2 linked regions of the Mytilus edulis genome follow. The protein of the gene in region 1 interacts with the protein of each later gene in a biochemical or structural test. Links are inferred from orthologs where the notes say so. Each region holds a gene or a part of one and is shown on either strand. Other genes may lie near its edges.

Region 1 (7,273 bases):
GAAATATAGATGTGTGATTTAAGAACATTATGCTCACAAACAATGGATAAGTATGTATTTATATAATTTTTTAAACGTTTCTCAAAATGTTACACAAGAAATCTAAACAGGAAGTTTTATCTCAGACATGTTGTTTAGGTTTCTTTGGGGGGCCATAGTATATATATATATTTTTCAAACTAAGAGGATAAACACTGAGATGTTGCCTGCTTTTCTAAAAATCATTAAATTTGATGTTGAAAGTCTGATATCAAGGTTTAAATGCAGATATATGGGAAAAGATGTTACCTGTAACTTCCTGTAGCGATATCCCAGATATTAACAGTTTTATCCCAGGAACCAGTAGCAAACTTTCTCTCATCATGACTGATATCACAGCATGATATTATATTGATATGTCCTCTGCAAGAAAAGTGTCAAATAATAAAACTTTAATTATCTATTTTTAACATTTCATACAGTATCATATCATACACTAAGTGCATTTCACTTAAACAAAAATGCTAAAGTTCTGATAACATCATTTTATTTTACTCTGATAAGTACATTCTAATTTCTAATCCAGCCTTACAGTGTCAGAAATACTGTGAATCAGTAAAATGCAAACTCAAGATTTAGTACATTTACTTGGTCACAGCAGAATACTTATTTCAAAATAGATCTTAGAAAATGTTTCCCTGTGCCAAGTCAGGAGCCTGTAAATAGTGGTTTAATTTTGTCCTTTGGGGCATTTTATAGCTTGCTGTGTGGTTAGGGTTTTGCTCATTGTTAAATCTGTACTGTGAGTCACAGACCTCTAGTTATTAACCTACTTTATTTTTAGTCTTTGGTAGAGAGTTGTCTTATTGAATATCACATTACATCTTCTAATTTTTATATAATTTTATCTTAGTACATCATGCTTAGTTCATTTTATCTGTTTGAATTTCTGGTGAATGATATAACAACATTTTACTATAAACAGTACTTACTGTACAGTAATGGTGACTTTTAAAGTCTTTAGATCATAGAATTTGGCAGTTTTATCCATGGAGGTTGTAATAATCTTATCATCTCCAGGAGCAAACATACATTTCGTAATGGTACTGGTGTGAATATCTGAAATAAATACAAATGTAGGTTGAACAAATTAAGCTTGTACCATTGACGTCCATTCACTTAAACCAATCTTATGTTTTGACAATTACTTTAAAATTAGATCATCAGAAAAAAAGCACCAAAGTTTCAAAATCGTCAAAAGAACTGATTCTACCACTGCATTTAATAATTCTTCACTCTAATTTAACATGGTTGAAAAGCCTACATATTGTTAATTTCTTGATCAAAGTAAAATAAACTGAAACAATTATTAGCATAACAACCTTTCATAATAATTGTTTCTTTATTAAATTAATAGATGAGATACTAAAACATCCAGTTTGTTTGTTTGTGAAATTCTAAAAGTAGTTCCACAACAATAGCTGGTAAAAAATTTGGTACCTAATAGATACAATGAGTAGCATACATTTTGCAAAATCCTAATACAGGATTAATTACAAACTTTTTTGTACATACCGTCAACATTATGTATGAGATCTCCTGTATTAGAGTCCCAGATTTTAACCGTGTTATCCAAGTCTGATCCAGAGACCACATATTTCCCATCATGTGAAAAATTACAACTTGTCACAATACCAGCATGTTTTCCTGACCACTGCAAGAAAAATAACGTTTTCATATTTTTCTTCTTTTGTAGTACCTACTCAATAATTGAAATCTTTCAGAAATAGGTTGATTAAAAGATTTTGTATTGATAGACCAGGAAGGCAGAGTGCCTGGAGAGAACCACTGACCTTTAGTAGATTTTGGAATAAGATGGAGATACTTAAGTAGTCCACATTTACAAACAAGATAATAACTTAACTACATTTCTTCATACTCAAAATAAAAATATATTAAATCATAGTGACATTTATCTTACAGCACCTCCAGCTGATTCAGTTTGTTTACTATTATAACCCAGATCGTGGTGACATTTAGCCTTACAGAGCATCCAGTTAATTCAGTTTATTTTATAACCTTAACTCACCACACAATTTCCAGATTCAATATCCCAAACAGCAACTTTCTTATCCCATCCACAACTAACAAATCTGTAAATAATCAATAACCTTAGTTACATTCAATATCCCAACATACAATGGTTAGTAACATTCAATATGATATCCCAACATACAATGGTTAGTAACATTCAATATCCCAACATACAATGCTTAGTAACATTCAATATCCCAACATACAATGGTTATTATGATTGATAGGTATTCCATCACATTTATAAAATTTAGATAAGATCATCATATCTGTTGAAATATTACTAAACTCATAATAATAAATACATAAAATTGAGAATGATATTTAAAAATGCTACAATTTTACTCCATGATTATTCAATGCTTCTATTTTTTGTTATAAATAATGTAACAGATTAATGAATAGATATGCATATGTTACCTCCTTCCATTGTCATTGACATTAGCTTGTGATATAATGCTATCATGACATCTTGTATAGTTATGGAGAACTTCTCCTGTCTCTACGTCCCAAATCTTGATTGTCTTGTCATCTGAGGCAGAGAGGATTTTCTGATCATTGTCAATGTATTTACAACTTCTTACTGAGTCTAAATGTCCACGGAAAACCTTTATTCTTAGCTGAAAAAGAAAATTACATACATGTACATATAAAAATAAGGAGGGCAGTCAGGGGTAATACTTGTATAAGTTATTTTCATTTACTTGTTACTAAGTTCATTTATATTTTCCAGAGTTTAGTGCGACATCTAATTTCACTGAACTATTACACATTTTTGCTTTGGGGCTAACTGAATCTGGCCTCTGGGTGCTGGATTTTCTCATTGTGTTGAAGAACAATTGTTGGCCTTGCACTGTAATCTGCTCTTTGGTCAGATTGTTGTCTCTTTTTTTTAAAACATTCCCCATTTTCATTCTAATATCGCGTTCATTATCACTGAACTAGTATATATTTGTTTAGGGGCCAGCTGAAGGATGCCTCTTGGTGTGGGTGTGGGAATTTCTCGCTACATTGAAGACCTGTTGGTGACCTTCTGCTGTTGTTTTTTTTCTATGGTCGGGTTGTTGTCTCTTTGGCACATTTCCCATTTCCATTCTCAATTTTAATGTGCATATTGTTATGCGTTTACTTTAATTTCTACATTGGCTAAAGGTATAGGGGGAGGGTTAAGATCTCATAAACATGTTTAGCCCCGCTGCAATTTTGCACCTGTCCCAAGTCAGGAGCCCCAGCTGGCCTTTGTTAGATGCTTGTATGATTTTTAATTTTAGTTTCTTGTGTATAATTTGGAGTTTAGTATGACGTCCATTATCACTGAACTAGTATACATTTTTTTAAGGGGCCAGCTGAAGGACACCTCCGGGTGCGGGAGTTTCTCACAACATTGAAGACCCATTGGTGGCCTTCAGCTGTTGTCTGCTGTATGGTATGGTTGTTGTCGCTTTGACACATTCCCCATTTCCTTTCTCAATTTTGTTAACCCTCTTGCTGCCAGTTGTTTTTCAGGGTTGCATTTCATATGCCAGAAAATACAACCGTTCAACGTTTGTGATGGACATGCTAAACAAATGACATCATTCAATATACATTGTACATGTGTGACATTATGCCGACCGTTACATTTGAGAGACATTGTAGAAACTTATAACACTTTTTAATTTTCACTCTTTTATTTTGATAAAGGTACAGCACTGACGTGAAGCTTGCATAAATTAAAACATGGACATATGTGTCCCTCCGTCAGGAAGAGGGTCAAACTTGGAATCTAGCCCAAACAAATTATGTTCAAATCAAATTTTGTAATGAAATTTTGATATCTAAACCTGAGCTAAATCTTCGTGTTCCCAAGTTGCCGTGGTTCGGCCAGCCTCGCTCTCATCTTGTACTATTTCAACTGATAATTCTTCTTCATCCATTGTCCATATGCAATGTTTCTTTTTCACATTTTATAAGTGTGTTTAGAAAATTTTCGCGTCCCTGGTTTCCTATCGGAAAGAAGAATAAATATTGACGTAAAATATATTAATTTAATTTATTTGTATTTGTAGCTTTATTTCAAGAACTATCACAAAACTATCATGAAAATAAAACTGAAATTCTGAATAAAATGTAATTTGACGAATATTATTGTTTACGACAACGACAATCTGACCTTGAACTTTCACAAATCGAAAATGGACGAGCCTCTGGATCCAGATGGACTCTTAGGTGGGTAAAATAAGGATCATGTTTTAATGATAGAAGAAGAAACAATTATATTTTGCACAAATCAAGCTATATGCTTCACATATCATTCAAATTTGGAAGCATTGCTGGTACACTACAGCTTTCTTTCTAAATTTTATGTTTAGTCGGACCAACTCACAAAGGTGCAGAAATTATCCAGCAAAGATTATTTACAGTTTCTTATGTTACATGTAATTAAAAGAAATATTAAACAGTTAAAACATATTAATATGGTTGGCAATACCATTTTTAACCCATGGTCTTGAATATATAATAATATTATGTCATGAATGTGATGTGAAAACATTTATAATGTTAAAATAAGAGATGTGATATTTATAATACACCTTATCGCTATTTGTCTGCCATTACTGGACATCACAAAAGTTCCAGTCAATTTTTACATCATAATAGAAAATATCTGACGCCGCAATAGAAAAGTGATTGTTGAATGAAGTCAAAAGTTCAAGCGGGATTTTTCGAAAGGTATCCAGTCGTTCGGGCCCCAAACCGATCCGGCCCCAAGTCAATCTGGCCCAAGTCGATCCGGCCCACGTCGATCCGTCCCCAAGTCGATCCGGCCCATAATAAAATATGAATTAACTAGATTTTGGAGGAATTTGTCACAAACTTTAACAGTATAAATGGAATTTGAAAAAAGTGTCCGATCGATGATGGATGACAACAGGTCAGCGAAGTATTGGAGTACCAGTTAACGAACTATTTTAAATCCATACGAAAATTAGTGTTATTGTGTCTGTTTGTATCGCAGTTTCTACATTTTTAAATTATGAAGTTATTTTCCATGATAACTTTTACTTTGAATTTCATGGCGATTTTTAACACACAGAATAGCTAAATAAATATTTACAGTCCAATGGACCTATAACATTTATCGCATAATAATGACTTGTTTAATCAAATCATTAGTCTATAATTGGTTTGTTTATTCAACAGTTGTCTGCTGATTGTGAACTAAGGTAATGCCACTCGTAATCACTTAATTCAATCCAATGCTGATTAATTAAAGTTACGTAATCTGTTTTTCAACAAGGTCTTTATAGTTTGATCTTCTGGTTTGGTGTAATTATTTGTATTTTTTTCAGGTTACATCAAAGGCTTCTATAACATATAAAAATATTCTATTCTATAACACTTTTTTTTGTAACATCGGATATGGACCATAATTTGCTATTGGGCTCCGTTTCCTATAACTATAGAAAAGTGATAAAATGTGAATTACTGTAAGAAAAGTTGCAACTACATCTAAAGATGCCATTATTTTTATCAATATACAAGTGTATGCTACTCTTCCCTAGAAAAAAAATTAAAATATACGAATTTCAAAGATTCTACAACCGTATTTTTGTGTCGTTTCTCGCGTTACTTTTTGCTTCCGAAGAGCATAACGCTGACTGATTTATAGATAATCGTCACTGGCAAATTCGTAACTTTTGCTTTCAAATAACAAAGAACATTGACCAATAGGAATAGTGAGAAGAAAATGCCGAGAACTATAAGTATTTATGTAGCAGATGTAAGCAGAGTGGCGTGATTTTTGTGTCCGATTTCGTAACGCAATTTTTAGATGATGTAATCTGCTTTGTTGTAATAGAATTCTTAAAAACAATATGCAAATATGGACTCTTCCGAGATGTTCAAACAGGTAAATCCGAGATGATTTACATTCTTGTTTTGATCTTCGTAATAATTAAGTAAGAAAATTACGTTATCGTTATGCGTTACATTTCACACGAAACAGAAGACCAGTTATTTATTAAAATTGTTTTTGTCCTTAAGTTCTAATCATTTCCGGTCATACATGAAACATGTGACTAACATGTGATAACGTCATTACGGCCGGATGTACGAAATACTAGGTCTAAACATTGTTTTTGTTTCCAACGGGATGTTAGCAAACATAATCTGTAGACTTGTTTCGTCTTGTTTAAAAGAGGAAAATACAATTGTCAAAGAGATTGCGCTGGTGGTCTGTTATTTTTCCTATGTGCATAATGTTACATATGATCCTGTGTGAAAATAAATGCCCAATGACTTGACAAAATCGATTTCATATTTGACAGACGTTAGAACACACTTCGTTTCCCGATAATGACGTGAAGAGTCCTTGGAAAAATCAATCTAAATTACGTCTCTTATCATTGTACCAATGCTCGTTGGATTGATTCAACTTCAGCAGTAAATATTACTGGATATTTTAGGTGAATAAATATAATTTAATAAAAAAATACATGTTAATATACCGTTACACTTGGAATGTACAAAGTTGGAATCTTTGTCACAGTTTTTAATTAATATTTTTTATTCATGTTCTGCAAACACTTATCAGAAACGCAATAAACTTGTCAAAGGAGAAGTAAACTTTTACCATGCATTACTTGAAAGGAAGTACTTAATTGATTTTAGCCCACTAAAGTAGGTTAAAATGTGGAAACCATGTAGATGGTGTACAGGTCACAAGTATCACATTGTGCCTATTTTAAAGATTTTAATTCCAAGTTAAAAGTTTTTTTCTTTACTGGATTTAAAGAATGTTACATTGCCAATGATTTGGAATAAATTGTATATAACTGGAATATCAAAACCAAATATTAAATACATTTTTTTGGCTTAAACATCAAGATACAACGATTATGGTATCCTGTATCAATGAAGAAAATATGGAAAATTCTGAATAAATTGTACTAATTGTTTTCAAAACAAGCACATATTAAGGAGTCTTATAATACTGTTACATTTAAGATGGATTTTAAGAAAAAGTATACTGTTCAGATTATTTTAAGCAGATTTTGCAATAAAATAAAACTAAAAAACTGCTTTCGGTTTCTTATGGTTTCCTGTCAGGTTTAAAAAAACTTTAATATAACATTGAAAATAGATTTTAAATATTAACATGAAGCATACTATGTAACACTAGTAATGGTGTTTATTTATGCCTTTTGAATTATATTGT
Region 2 (7,852 bases), on another chromosome or scaffold:
TTTAGGAGACAGCAATTTTCCAAATCCCATTGTGCTACATGTATTTGAATTTACTATGAGGAACACTGAGTCCTAACTGGCATTATAACTGATGGACAAATCTTTGATCAAGTCAATTGATATTGAGATAGTTAAAAATCTGCCATTCAAGTCCAGACATCTAGGAACTAGTATGATACATCTGTTACAACTAATTATTTAATTTTCAATGGGGTTTTAATCATGTTTAAGTGCGATATATAATCAATATTACCATTCCAATATATTAGATGGAAGTGGAGCAGCTTTGACATATGGTACTGGGTCACGCATAATACGCATGAAATCTTGCTTTAGCCTGGCTGTTGCCGTGTTGTTGACACGTTTTCCACTCATCCTAAAAATATGGATAAGATCATAATTTTACAAAATGCATATACGACAAAACATTTCTTGGGTTTAATGGGTACATATATATAACTAAATGAAATACATGATAAACTTTTAAAAAATATGTAAAACATTGATAATTTTCAATATATGCTATACTCAAATGAAACTTAAAGAGTTCAATTTTTCACCATTATGACCATTATAAACATGACGTAATAATTATGCATTAAAATTTTTGCTGTTTTTGCACTTGACAATATTCAACAATCATGTCTGCATTGTTGCATCAGACATTTCTCTTATTACATCAAATGCATTGCTGTAAGAAACATTTTTTTTAATGTAATGTCAGTATTGACGTCAATATTTTACGGGAAAGTCTGCAAGAGTGAAAGCCAATAATGAAGGACAAATATCCCTATCGCTATTTGGAAATCTGTCCTGCTTGAACTATTGACATCATACAACAATCACTTTTCCATTGTCAAAATGATTGTGGTGTCAGATATATTTTTTATTATGACGCCAAAATTTTAAGGGAACATTTTTCTTCTTCTTCCGAATACGAGAGTAGACTCTTCTTCTTCTTCTTCCTTTATAGTACAGGCCTCCCAAGTTAGTACTACTGTACTGTTTTATGTACACGTTCGATGTGAAATTACAACAAATGTGCGAGTATATGTGAATTATCTACAGTGTAGGAGTAGTAGGAGTGTAAAAGTTTTGTCCAGTAATGACAAACAATTAGCAATAAGGTACATATACATGTATATAGGGATAAGGAATTGAGACTGAATTATAACCTAGTTTGCAGAGTAGATTGGACACATCATGTTTTTGTAAACTGTCAATAAGGTCCCCGGTGTCCGCACGGCTGGTGATACCGCTCATCAGCTGATTTCGTTATATCAACAAAGTACATGTAACATAAATAGAATCGTCCTTGTTTTAGCCTTCCGATGGGAGAAAAAATGAAAATTGATAAGTTCAAGAGTAAAATAATAACTGCAATCCCTTTATTTACAATATTTAGTCAATTTCCATTAAAAAAAACACATAATGGTATAAAATTTGTTTTAATTAAGTCAAATTTTTATCAGATTGAAATAATTTTTGCTCTGAATCCTTGGCAGTGTGCTTGGTTCAAATTCAGTTATATTTCGGAGTAGAAAATCTTCCCTTTATTAAAAATAGGCTATTTTTGGAAGGCATGCGCGAAAACACCTGACATTGGAGGAACTCTCAGAACAGGGGTTTTCCTAATTTTGGACACACATGTCACAAAATTTTGAGGGTGAAACCATACAACCAGGCCATTCATTAGGAGGCGGTACCCGGTACTTTTATCCTCCTATGCTATTGACAAGTACCGCCTAAATGTAGGAATTTGTATATAAGATATTCATGGAATAAATTGAAAAGTACCACCTAGAAACGTGGAAAGTATCAGTCAACATGAAAGATAATGAAATCCCTGATTACAACAGTCAGAGCTAAGACATAAACAAGTCTATTTTTGTTTTTGACTTTAAGAAGTCATAACTTGTATTTATTATAAAAATATGTTTCAATTTTAGACTCATCTAAGTCAGAAAATGACAGACTTGTTTAGGTCTATTTATGTTGATGAAAATACTTAATTTTACTTGGTGGCCAAAGTACACCACCTATGACATCAAAAACCTGTCTGAGAGTTCACAAGGACTTGAGTTATCTATATTTAATTATCTAATTGAACATCATTACTAAACACAGATGTTTTACCTCATTAAGTGTGGTTCCAGGTGGTTGCATTATAAGGTTAATTAACATTATCTCCGATTTTTTAGACTCTCATTCATATTTTTCTTTAGAAGACAAAGCATTGTCTTTTGATGTTATCATTATATGATTTAGATGCATGACCTTTTTATAAATATGCGTGGGTCTTGAAGTTAGCTATTTTTGGTAACTTATCGACTTGAAGCCTCCCCGAGTCGATATTTGCAATTTTTTGATTCTGGTCAATTATTTCTTGCTTAACAATATTCGACTTATTAAAGTCATATTTTGTCTTGTATTTAAGGGAGACAAATCCTAAAACTTACAAATTTAGACCTCTAGGAGTCAAAAGCAGATTAAGACTTATTTATGTCTGAGCTCTGACTGTACAAACAGAAGATTTTCAGAAATAAAAGTATGTTATGAATGTGTTCACACAATATTATACAATTATTGGTTTTATCAGTTGAATGAAGCGAAGGCATAAGTCTTAGGTGCGCGGATACACCAGACTGCACTGTATCGTATCCAAGACCAATTGCTACTGAATTATCAACATGTTGGAATGCTGTCTCACTGACAAAATTTGTAAAATTACAAAGAGAAAGTCTGGTTAGTGATATAGTGGTTTGGTTTCAAGCAGAGCCAGAGGGGAAATGATTTTCAAACCACTTCCTTATCATGTAAACAGGTGTCCCTGACAGTGACAGTCACGTAAAAAATAATTTGACAATCATCACAATATGATTTCTGCCAGATAGGCTTACCTGAATTAATACGTGATATTAAAATAAGGTAAAATAAAATATCAAAGTTGGATAGACATAATGACAGCTGCTTTCGCTTTTACTTTCTGAATGAACAATTCATGAATGAAATGTTTCTGTTTACGTCATTTTTACAGGATTTTTTACTAAAAGACCCTTTCATCATTTTGATGGGAAAATCCCGAGGTGTCTCGAAATTTTGTTTAAATAAAAGAAGGATTAAGTTGACACCAAAAGAATAAAAGTTAGATTTTATGTGATTATCAAATTATTCCTGTAATTACGTTGACTATAAACAATAAGTCAAAAGACTTAGAGAAAACAATTACATTAGAATAATAAAAAATAAAAATCATCTGAAAGCAAGGCATTGGTAGCCAAACCAGGGACTTTCTATACAAGAAAGTCCGAACTAATAAAAGTATCATATTAACACCATAAAAAGTAAGTAAAACTTTATTTGGATTCGGCATATTGCCAAACAATGCAAACATAAGCTCTAATGAGCTTTTCACCGAATATAAAAACATATGCAATAACAAATAAAACAAGGCATGCAGCATGCAATAAATAATAAAAAGCAGCACCAAAAATTAACTCTAAGCAAATAGCATACACATGTATCTTGCAAAATACCAAAAATATATGAAGCATTAATTTTTTTTTTAATTTGTAGTTTAAATTTATTTTTTTTTTAAATTATGATTTATAAAGTAAAAATTTCAAATCTTTCAAATTTTAAAATGTAAAAAACAAAATTTCAGTTGCAATGCAAGCTGTTAATGCAACATAAAAAGCATATAAAATATTGTAACACAAATTATCTACAGGCAGAGCAAAAACATTCTGTTCCACTCCAGGACTGAACAAGACTCTTAAAATGTGAGAAGCTATTAACAGTCCTGAAATGGTCTGGTAAACTATTCCATAAAGAAGCAGCAGCAAAACCAAAAGATTTTTTTCCATAATTGATCATAACTCATATTCGGTATGAATGCAAAGATCACTGGCACTAAGATAAATCAAAGATGTGTGTACTACTATACAAATCCTTGAAGATAAAAGCATAAAAGGGAAACTAACTACGAGATTTCTATAAAATCTCAAATATGATTGCTTTTGTTCAATCATTAATTAAAGTGATACAGTGAAATAATAATTCGCTTTTTAGCTGCTAGTGTGGTTCAATTTTGTCAAAATAAGTTAAGAAACATTGATGATGACTTATCCGCTTGTAGGTGAATGGTTCGACCTCATTGAATCCGTATTCATGTGAACTGTAATTTAACCCGTTATAGCTAGAGATGGATAACGCATGAACTGTCAACATTGAAAGTGAATAAAAGCTAAATCATTTAATTAATTGATTCGATCCACAAAATATCATTCTTATACAGATAAAAACAATGATAAACATTACTATATAAATTTTTAAATCTATAATTTGAAATTAACCTAGAAAAATCCAATTGCACGAGTTCCCTTATCTATTTATATCTATACTTATGTTTGTATCGCTTATATAACAATCGGACGTCTTCGATCGTAGGTCAACTCGATAGTTAATAATTTGGCGTCTTGACTAAAATACACACAAAACGAAGCTGTATATATTCTCGAGCCCATGCCCCGTAAATTGTTAATTTTCGACTTTTTATAATTTGGATAAATTTTTTACATTATAATAAATAAAATATGAGTTACTGTATATGAGTCAAATTGGTGAACATGAATTCAAGTGACAGCTAGTGCCCCTTTAAATCAGAACATAAAACACTAAAGAAAATAATGTACAAATTACAAATTGATCACTCAGTATAAGCAAACATATACAACTATATCATGCGGTCTAAAAAAAATCTGAATCTTTTTATCACTGCCAAAGTCGAGAATGGAACCCTTACAACTGCTTCAAAATATCGTAACGGGTTTGTGTTTACAAGAAACATGTATGATTTTGTGGTAATGTATAGTTATGAAAGAATAGAAAAAGTAGTCGTTGTTCAACATATGCAAAGATAATTGCAATATATAGTCAATGCAGTCCGAGGAAAATAAATATTATTTTCGACTACAATTTCGGCTCTACCGTCATTCTTAATATTCTTTTCATAGGTAACATTTTGATGGATCATCCCTGTTAGTGTGGGACAAACATTGAGAATAACTCAATGCTCTTCTGCTTTTGTCTCGAATGTACTACAAGAATATTTATCGTAGAAAAACACTTTTTTAATTCTCTTAATTGAGACCGAAAACGCTGTCTATCAATAATAATTGTAAGATGTGGTATGAGAGCCGCCTAGTGAGACAACTCTCCATCCAGGTCACAAGGAGTAAAAGTAAACCAATATAGGTCACAGTTTAACCCCGCCACATTATTTATGTATGTGCCTGTCCCAAGTCAGAAGCCTGTAATTCAGTGGTTGTCGTTTGTTTATGTATTACATATTTGTTTTTCGTTCATTTTTTTTTTACATAAGGCCGTTAGTTTTCTCGTTTGAATTGTTTTACATTGTCTTATCGGGACCTTTTACAGCTGACCATGCGGTATGGGCTTTGCTCATTGTTGAAGGCCGTACGGTGACCTATAGTTGTTAATGTCTGTGTCATTTTGGTCTTTTGTGGATAGTTGTCTCATTGGCAATCATACCACATCTTCTTTTTTATATATTCAACACGGAGCATTGACTGACACCAACATTGGCGGATCCAGGGGGGTCAGGGGGTTGGTACCCCCTTTTTTTGGACGATCAATGCATTTGAATGGGAACCTGTGGTTGCACCCCACCCCCCTTTATCCTGGGTTGGGAACCCCCTTTTTTAAATGGCTGGATCCGCCCCTGACCAAACAGCAGTCTACAAAGGGCCTTAAAACATTATACTAGTGTAAAATCATTCAAACGGGAACACCACCGGTCTATTCAATATAAAATACAAGAAACGAGAAACATTATGAACCACACCAACAAACGACAACCACTGAACATCAGGTTCCTGACTTAGGACAGGTGCAAACAAATGCAGCAGGTTTAAACGTTTTAATAGGTACCAACCTTCACCCTTACCTGAAACAATAGTCAGTGTAACATCACAACATGTTTAAAATTCTCCAAAATGTGCAACATTTTATTAGAATGTCTAACAGATTTCTTGTACTTTATAAAGTGTAATTTGTATACATGGTATATATACTGGAACCATCATTATCGTCGCCATCAACATCTAAATTTATGTCATCACAAAAATATTATCTTTCATTTTATTCTTCTATCATATTCAACACTTTGTCTCTATCTTAAACTTCTTATACTACTAGTTATATTAAATTAGACAACATTCTTTAAAAAAAATTGATGTGAAATCATTACAATTAGTTGTTGAAACGTTTTCTTATAAGGAATATAATTTAGGTCTCAACTCTTTTGTACATGTAGTTCATACACAGTGCATGATTTAAAATAGCATATAATTGTAATGGATATGGATTTTTATGAATGAAACAAACTGAAATGATTGGCACTTAAAATATTTATCTTATACATTTAAATGCCTTTTATACCTTATAGCTTACATAATCATATTTTAGAAATTCTTACATAACTTTATGTTCTAATATTCTGTTGCAATGTTAGGTCTCGCGTTTCACATTGGATAACCTTTGGTAATATTGTGATTCGTTGGTTCACGTCTATTATAATTGTTTTCTTAAATTATTTTGTTATACATTAGAAAGTTAGTTTTATCAATTGAATTGTTTTATATTTTTCATTTTTTATATAGTATAGCATACTATACTGTATGGGTTTTTCGGCATTCAGTGTCAAAGACGGTGCTGTTGCCTTTATATACTAGTGGGTCTCATTGGGGTCTAAGCGTGACGCGGGATTGCCTATTTTTTTTATAAGCGTGACACGTGAAAGTCAAATTATTGTGGCGTGAAAACGGGAAATGAGGTCTTGCGGGACCCGGGAAATGACAAAAAAATGAGAATTGCTTACGTACATAGTGTAAGCGGGATACGGATTTCTGACAAAACAGTAAGCGGGATCCGGGATCGGAACCCCCCAATGAGACCCCCATACTAGTTGCTTACGTCTACTTTTTTTGCATGTTGTCATGAGATAGTTCAGTGTCTAATTGCCAACCATTCTACATCTTCTTTTATATTTTTATCATCGGCTATTATCACTAATGACACACTTTGCTTGAGTCGTATAAACAAAAATAACAGATTATTTGCAAATTTAGTCTTCCCTTTATAGGATTTGAAACCATGCATACTGTGACATTTCAGCGTACGGATATGGATAGTAAACTGCACATTGCTACAAAACAAAGAAATATTGATGAAATCGTGGATCTTGGCTAATTTTCAATTTAATAGAACCTTTCTCGGAACCTATAGATTAACTTTATCTAACATTCTAAATAACAAAATACATGAATAAAGTTCGATCACTTTCAACAGCAACAATAGTGATAAGATTATACAACATATCAAAAAATGTGAAATCATTTAGATAATATAATGAAACATGGCAACAATTTTTAAAATTTCATTCTAACTAAAACTGAATATGACCTAAGACAACTTCTGTGTGACCGGAGCAAGTATATGTGACTGGATTAAACGAGTTGGGTTTTTTCTAGGATAAAATTCAAGCTTGCTCAAACTGGTTAGGAATGACAAGGAAATACGGAAATTAATCCGGCATTTACCCAAGTTTTGGGTTTTAGAATCGCCCTAAAATTAGATCACAGCAAAACATTATTATGATGGTGTAATTTTTATCGAAATTTGATAAGTTTTGATAAGAATTCTCTCACGTTTTTCCTGTCAAAGTGAGAATTTTAAAGTCCGAAACATTTCGAGAACACATTCTATTATTGGAAATGAATATGCAATGATAATGAGGAAAATATAAAGCATGTAGCGCTTGTTGTTTTGG

Evidence for each region.
Region 2: the proteins of E3 ubiquitin-protein ligase MARCHF6-like (region 1) and ubiquitin-conjugating enzyme E2 J2-like form a complex in vitro, tested with the Homo sapiens proteins (2 studies listed by BioGRID, with this or other methods). The link is inferred for Mytilus edulis from reciprocal best matches to the Homo sapiens genes MARCHF6 and UBE2J2.

Annotation. Positions count from the first base shown.
Region 1 is NC_092348.1:8,292,960-8,300,232, reverse strand, and holds the start of E3 ubiquitin-protein ligase MARCHF6-like, read left to right. Parts: upstream 1-4,158; 5' UTR 4,159-4,247; coding exon 4,248-4,281; intron 4,282-7,273. Other genes in the region: WD repeat-containing protein 88-like, read right to left, coding at 289-402, 972-1,098, 1,555-1,693, 2,069-2,132, 2,494-2,693, 3,897-3,989. UniProt on the Homo sapiens protein: Endoplasmic reticulum membrane-associated E3 ubiquitin ligase that plays a critical role in mitigating endoplasmic reticulum stress, the regulation of cholesterol and lipid homeostasis, and ferroptosis.
Region 2 is NC_092356.1:26,165,506-26,173,357, forward strand, and holds the start of ubiquitin-conjugating enzyme E2 J2-like, read right to left. Parts: upstream 3,089-7,852; 5' UTR 2,901-3,088; intron 377-2,900; 5' UTR 376-376; coding exon 254-375; intron 1-253. UniProt on the Homo sapiens protein: Catalyzes the covalent attachment of ubiquitin to other proteins. Seems to function in the selective degradation of misfolded membrane proteins from the endoplasmic reticulum (ERAD).